2 linked regions of the Astyanax mexicanus genome follow. The protein of the gene in region 1 interacts with the protein of each later gene in a biochemical or structural test. Links are inferred from orthologs where the notes say so. Each region holds a gene or a part of one and is shown on either strand. Other genes may lie near its edges. The genes, in order: siah2l and dlst.

What was found.
Region 2: the proteins of siah2l (region 1) and dlst form a complex in vitro, tested with the Homo sapiens proteins (2 studies listed by BioGRID, with this or other methods). The link is inferred for Astyanax mexicanus from reciprocal best matches to the Homo sapiens genes SIAH2 and DLST.

What each region holds. Positions count from the first base shown.
Region 1 is NC_064424.1:17,165,512-17,169,437, reverse strand, and holds the start of siah2l (E3 ubiquitin-protein ligase Siah2), read left to right. Parts: upstream 1-864; 5' UTR 865-1,095; coding exon 1,096-1,590; intron 1,591-3,926. UniProt on the Homo sapiens protein: E3 ubiquitin-protein ligase that mediates ubiquitination and subsequent proteasomal degradation of target proteins.
Region 2 is NC_064421.1:13,690,750-13,694,675, reverse strand, and holds the start of dlst (dihydrolipoyllysine-residue succinyltransferase component of 2-oxoglutarate dehydrogenase complex, mitochondrial), read left to right. Parts: upstream 1-1,436; 5' UTR 1,437-1,545; coding exon 1,546-1,608; intron 1,609-3,926. UniProt on the Homo sapiens protein: Dihydrolipoamide succinyltransferase (E2) component of the 2-oxoglutarate dehydrogenase complex. The 2-oxoglutarate dehydrogenase complex catalyzes the overall conversion of 2-oxoglutarate to succinyl-CoA and CO(2).

The sequences.
Region 1 (3,926 bases):
GGAAGTCAGTCAGCAGAGGTCATTTACATATATAAGTTAATGATAGCCTGATAAATTAAGAAATCCTATCTGCATCACATTTAATCCACTGATATTTTTTTTAATTTAATCTTAAAGTAGTTTTGAAACCAGTATTTGTACTTAGGTATAAAGCTTCAGTTGATACTTCAGCTTCTACAGAAATATTGTAAACCCTAATCAGGCCCATTGCAACAAGGCAAGCAAACCAATCCTTTGCCTTGAGGCCTGAGCTGGCCTGGGGCTCCAGACAACAACTGTTTGTTAGCTACCTGCCTGGGCGTCCATGCTAGTAACGAACTGGAACAGGGGTCCATTTTGCTTGGAGCCCCCAAATTCCTTACCTATATTATCTATAAGCCTACTATCTGTACCACTAATTTACCTGAGTAATGAATGCCAGTACTTTTAATACTTTTGTTTATATGATCACTCCAAAGGTAAATCTGATAAAGGGATCCGAACTGAACTTCTCTCATTTTATGATCACATTTATTTTACAGCATGAAGCTTCGATGAGGGCAGGCAGTAATTATAACTAGGTTAAATTTGTTTGTGAAAATATGCATTCTTTTTTTTTCTCTGATACGGCATGCGATCAATAATACCAATAATACCGACCGATACACTGGGTGAAACCGATCCGAGATCAGTGGAGAGAGAGAGCGAGCGGCTGTTTGTCACGCTGATCCGCTCCGCTCACTTTCACTCTCTCCGTCACTACAAGCCGCTGCGTGTAAACACACACAGCCGTTACACAAGAGCCTCCATCCGCCTCGCTATTGGCTTAGGCGGCTGTCAATCACAGCGCTGTCAGCCAATGACCTCGCTCCTTTTTCTCAAACAGTGGCGGCCATGTTGTATCCGCGGGTGTGTGTGAGTATGAGTGTGTATGAGTGTGTGACTGAGTGTGTGTGTATGAGTGTGTGTGTGTGTTTGGGTCTGGGAGAAGAGGAGCGTGTGTTGTACTACGAGCTGCCGCCGCCGCTGCCGGTGTGTGTGTGTGTGAGCACCGCTCTCATACCAGCCGAGTCGTGGGTTAAAACTGTCGGTTAACCTTAGTTTGCCCGCTTCGCCATGAGCCGTCCGTCCTCAGCGGGAGGAGCGGGCGGAGGACTGGGAGCCGGTAAGGCGGGAGGAGGGAGTAAACACGGCGGCTCCGGAGCAGCAGGAGGAGGAGGAGCGGCGGCAGCTGCCGCTGCTGCAGCCGCTGCGGCCGCGGCAGCAGCAGCAGCGGCGGCGGCTGCTGCGGGGGTTTCGGGCTCCGTCTCTGGGTCCGGTTCTGTGACTGCTGCGACCGCTGTAACGTTACCTACTGCGGCTGCTGCTGCTGCCGCCGCTGCTGCTGCTGCTCTACCCGGACAGTCGGCCGAGCTGACGGCGCTGTTCGAGTGCCCAGTGTGCTTCGACTACGTGCTGCCGCCGATCCTGCAGTGCCAGGCCGGCCACCTGGTCTGCAACCAATGTCGACAGAAGCTGAGCTGCTGCCCGACCTGCCGCGGGCCTCTCACACCCAGCATACGGAACCTGGCGATGGAGAAAGTCGCCTCCACGCTGCCCTTCCCCTGCAAGGTAAGAGAGAGAGGAGCTCCTGACAGCCCGTTAGAGAGCTTTACCAAGCCTGAGAAACTTCAGCACAGTTTCAGACTGACACGCAGTGCTGTGACACTACTGTACTTTTCACACCACTTTTTGTATAACGTTACTTTATTTCCTATCTATCTACCTCACCAGCTACCTCACTTTTTTGGCTTGGTTTGACAGCGCCCTCACGACTCACAGGAGGAGTGAGTGTTTGAGGAAGTGAGTCTCCATTAGCTCAAGTTTACAACGCTACAGGTGTTTAGAAACGGGAAAGCCTCGGTTCTGCACCCTCTCCTGCTGTTTTAAGGGATGTAAAGGCTCATTTCATGGAAATAAATAAGAACAGAAGTCTCCAAACATTGTTTAGCTATAACAAAATGTCATAATGTACCATTATCCCCCCTCTTCCCAATAAACCTGGACATGCAGCAGCAGAGCAGCCTGTTTATAAATGTGACAAGTTTAAAACGGCAATTTGATTATTTCTTCATCATATCTTTTATGTCGTTGAAGTGAAAGCTTGTTTATTTCCATAATAAATGCTGACACATTTGTAAGGAACATTCATTTGTGGGATGAGCAACAGAGCTGAGTATGTAGCTTGTGCCCATGAAATATCTGCCAAATCTTCTCTGTCATTGCCAAACAGCTTATTTTTACTGTTGCTATTGACTCTTGTTTTGAGCTTCTGATACCACAGGTTTTGATGAACAACTTCAGCATAGTTACAGACACACAGCGCTGACACTACTTTACTAACCACTTTAATTGTGGACCCAAAGCAGCATAGCAGCCTGTTTTGAAATGCGCAACAAGTAAGAACATTTGTGTCTGGTAGATTATTTCTTTGTAGTAACAATGATTCTTTGCAATAAATCGTATATTGTTAAAAAGCCTGTTAATTACCCTATTAAATGTTGCCACATTTGGAAGGAAAATCTTCTCTGTCAGTGCCAAACATCTTATTTTGCTGTGGCTATTGACAATAGTTTTGAGCTTCTGGTACCCCCAGGTGCTTCCAATCAAGCATGGGCCCTGCTACAGTGGTTAATTGGTGTCTGCTCCAAGAAACAGCATGCCTTGTTTGACTGATCTGTATAGGGCTCATGCGATAGAACAACTTCATGCTGGTGTTCCTCAAAACCAAGTTGTGACATTATTTGAAGTGAGCCATAGTACCAGTTCTCTGACACCATGTGGGTGTCAGAGAAAGGCCTCAAAGGGGCTTTCCAAGAAGACAACACCCCAAGAAGACGAGTCAATGACAGAATAAGCTGATTGGCATTGGCAGAGAGGATATGGCAAAGTTCTCATGGGTGCAAGCCATATTCAACATACTCAGCTCTGCTACTTATTCCACAATTGCATTTTCCTTAAAAATGTGGCACAAATTAAAAGTAAAATTATCAGTCTTTCCAGCGGTATAAGATTTTTTGCCAAGAAGCATTGTTACAACTTAGAAATAATCTACTAACCACAAATGTCCTTACGTTTTGTGCTATTTCTAGTACATGGCAATTATATTCAAATCTGTCAGAAATTGGACTAATACTCTGCATAAAATTGTAAGCATTGCTCAACATCCCCAAGTAAAACTAATCCCATCTGATTAGAGCTTTTGGCTGACTTGTTAAATTGTAGTATTTCTTTTACCAGCAAGTGTTCTTGAAGCATATTGCTAGATGTATGCTGCATTATGTTCACCTACTTGGAAATATCCTGCAAAATGTACCAAGGGTCCTAAGATTTAAGCTGTCACAGTTTGGTAAAACATACATCGGAACAGGAACCTTGCCGACCGGAAGCAGACATGAAGGGAGGGCATGACTAAAGTAAATGTTGACTAATCAACTAGTAAAAATAATTAATAGACAGATTAGTTGCATCCCTAATAGTGTTATAAACTTGGCTGCCTTTTAAAATGAGGAAAGCCTATGAACAGAGGTAATAGACACATCTCTTACAGTTGTTTCTGATACATAAACACAACATCATAAGTGAATTTCATGGCTGAAACTAAATAAAATCCAAGAATCACATCAGATAATGGCACCTTAAACAGATGATAACATTAGAACTTACTCAGCATGTTGTAAGATGACCTTAGGAAGAAAATGAGCCAACACTCATTACCCGTTGTCCTTACAAACTTACCATCAACGTTTAAGCCAATTAAAGCCTTTGGTTACAGATTCAGGATCAGTACGTCAGCGCGCTCTTTCAAAGCTAATTGTTACAAAGCATATATTATGTACATTGAGGTTGACTGAGTGGATGATTGTGATTAAAGCAGGGTTTTTGTAGATATGGAGATTGTGTATAAG
Region 2 (3,926 bases), on another chromosome or scaffold:
GTCAGAATGCTGAATGTCTTCCAAAATACCTCATCCCCAAATTCCCTGTATCTCCACAACTCATCTCTAAAGTATTGGAAGAAGCACCATCAATCTAAAGAACACAGTTTCATTACTCCACAGCATAATACTGTGGGTCATTATACCCCTGTAGCCCAGCGATTCTCAAACTTTTTAGTTTAAGAGGCCCTCTTTGTGGACTGTAAGTGCCACCACTACAGCCCCTCAGCCACACCTCAGGATGTCTGTGGCAGAGACTCAAAAGAACTCGAGCAAAAAATATCTAAATGCGGGTTCTTTAATATATTTACATTGTACTAAAATACATTCATTTCCAATGGGCATATATGCAGCTGAAACAGGAAGCCTAGTGCATCCCAAATTTATCAGCATTAACATTTTAATATAACATTATAGTCATTATCGCTTTTAGAAATTGGGTGTTAGGGAGAGGGTAGTAGCTTTTTACCCATAAATGCTAGTTCAATCTCAGTTCAAGGTGTGCAATATCATCGCATGCAACACTATGGGCAGATTTAATATTCATTTTGTTGCAGTAGTGTATTCTTGAAATGATTATTTATAAATGTTTTGTCTTATCGCCAATAATATTGTTAATGCAAAAATACCCTGTAATATTGTGATATTATTTTAGGGCCATATTGGCCATCAGGGTACAACTTTTTTTGCTGTTTGCAGCAAAATAAAAATTCACACTGTTAACACTTACCTTTACATATCTACTAGAGAAATAATATCTGTGAAGTGTAATTTCTTTTACTTTAGTGTTGGATATATGGAATGCATTCCCTGCTAAAAAAAATCCAGCTTGAGACCAGCTGATCATTGAGAAAAACAATCTCAGTTTTGAAATGCCAAGTTATTATTTTGATATACTATTTTAGTTTTGAAATGCCAAGTTATTATTTTAATAAACTCAGTTAAAATAAATCTCAGTTTTTAAATGCAGAGTTATTATTTAGATTTACTATCTCAGATTTGAGTTACTAAATCATTATTTCGATATACTATCTTAATTTAATTTATTTTACTTCAATCCTGAATATATGGAGTGCATTATTAGTATAATGACATGTTGATTCATTTACTTACTTAATATTATAATCTGGTGGAAATCTCAATTAGTAGTGTGCCATTTCATATCGTATGCAACAATACTGTCAAATAATATTGATTTTGTTGCAGTGGTGTGTTCTTGAAATTATTATTAGTTTTAATTCAATGTTTTGTCATGTCGCCAAGAAATATCGTAATATTATTTTAGGGCCATATTGCTCACACCTAGTGTCCACTAAATTATTAGGCATAGCTAACCTACTGCAGTACAGAACAGGTTGGGCAGCTGTCCACAAACTTTTGGACATGTGAGGGAGTTTTTAGCTTTGGTATAATCCACGCTGATCCTCCGCCCCTCCCGCTGGCTGCTGTTGGTTCGCCCCGGCGTGGTTGTGTCTCTCTGCCGCTTCTCCTGCTCCCTCCTGCGGGCCTTTACCGCTCTGTGTCCGGCAGGCGCGGATTGCCGATATGTTGTCCCGTTCCCGCTGCTTCACCCGCACCTTCGGCCGCTCCATCTCCGCCCTCCGGCAGGTACGTGCGCTGAGCTCCTGCGGTCTAGGGCTGACTGTACCCGCGCTGCTTTCACGGGCAGCCGCTGCTGCAGGCCGGGCGGCGCTGGCTGTAGCTCTGCTAGGCCTCGCCCGCTGGACCAAGGGCAGTATGTCACCGCTGCCGTACCCACCCCATTACCTCGTTATCTAGATAACCGTTTATTAACATAAGTATGTAGATAAGTTAATGGCATTAACACCATATTTATACGCTGGAAACGGCCTTTATTCCTGCAGTTTCTCCTGTGGTTTAGTGAATGCTTGGCTGAGGTCATTGCAGAAACTCTCCCTAAAGGGTCTTCCATGTTGAATGCTAGTTAGCTTAGCTTAGTTTAGCTTAGCTCAGCTTACCTAGCTAGCATTAAACCTTCCTGTCTCCTCCAGTATCTGTCCGTTTACAGAGGTCAGACAACACCGCGTTAGCTAGCTAGCTATCGAAATAGCTTTATTAGGATACCAATGTGTCTACAGTAACGCTGTCTATTTGTTTATTCTCTTTAATTTACTGTTGTACACCGTGTTTTGGTTTGTACATTAGGCTAACACTAATGCAAATGGCTGGTTTGCCAGTTTCACATTCGCTACAAACTGCTGTAGTTATGTCTAGTAGTTGTTTTAGTTATCCTAACCTAACTAATTAGCACTGTTTTTATTTCAGACCTGACACCTAGTTTTTAAATACTAAGCTAAACTAAAGTAGTTAAGTTGGGAGTCAGTATATTTTAAAATATGCTTTGTAAAGTTTGTGGCTCCATTTTCCTAGCTAGCATTAAGCTAACATGGCAAAGTCCTCCTTGTACACCTTGGTAACCAAGCTAGTTTCACTACTGTTGCACTATAAACTCACTAACACCGTTTAACACATTTTAATAGACCTTCTCGTAATATGTCATTATTCCGAGATACTAAGTCGCAATTATTAGATACTAAGTCGTTAATTTAAGATATAATCTTTTTACATACTTGGTCATTATTTTGGGATTCTATCTTAATTTCCAAAATACTTAGTCATTAGTTTAAGACACTGTCTTAGTTTTACGATACTAAGTCATTAATTTGAGATACTAGCTTGGGTTAATGATACTAAGTCGTTTTTCTAGAGACTAAAGTCATTATTTTAAGCTGCTTTCTTAGGTTTTAAGAACCTCAAGTCATTCATTTGAGAAACTGTCTTATGTGTAAGATACTAAGTCATTATTTTACTTTACTATCTTACTTTTAAAGGTACTATCTCAGTTTTAAGAGTCTAGGTCAGTATTTTGAGCCTTTACATAGCATGTGTACAATCTGTTATTACCTCAAAATAATGAGAACATCTCAAAATGATCGCTTAGTATCTCAGGATAATTACATTACTTTTACTTTGCATTAATTTTGTTGCAGTAGTGTGTTCTTGAAATTATTTTTTTTTTACTTTTATTCAAAGGTTAATTGCTGATTACACTAGCTAGTTATCTTCTGTAAACACTGCAGCATTAACTCATTTACTGAGTGACCTTTCAGCTTTCTTAATATATATATGCCATTAAGCTGCCTAGTCACAATACTAGTCACAAACACTGTTATTGTTATCAATTTATACAACTGATATAATCATAACATTTCTTTTTTCTTTTTTTTTTTTTTACAATTACAGTCTTTTAACAAGCAGTAAACATCTGATTATTAAGAATATTTGGACATTCAATTCAAACGAAGTTTTAACACTCAATATAATAAGATTTAATAAGAAGTTTAAAAAAAAATGTAAGAAGTACATTGCGTTAATGTGATCTCCCCATTAAATGAACACAGTGGATCTTCAGGTCTGCACAAATTATTAAGGCCATGTCTGTTTGTTCTACTTTTTTTTATTTAAATTTTATTTATTAAACTACATTATATTATATTATTAAACAACTACTTTCTAATCTTAAGTGTTATCCTTAATGTAACTGTCACAATAATTGTTATTGTACAATAAATGGACATGACCCTATTAATTTTTGCTGACCTTGATATTGTCCATTTTAATTTCTTGCATGACTTGTTTACACCCTGTAGTGGCCTGTAGGTTACAGTTTTATTTTCTGAAATAAATCATGTGTCCATTTTGAGGTTGGTTTTATGGCATAGGGTAAACTGGCACACAATTTGAGAAAAAGGACTGAATTGGAGACCATATTTGTTATTCAATGTTTTTTTGGGAAAAACCAATGGCAAAAATTGCTGCAATACCAGCGCATTTGTCTTTGAGAAACATAAAATAACTGATAAATAGGTTTCTTGGTGGTATGTTGGTAGGCCTTCCCGTACCTT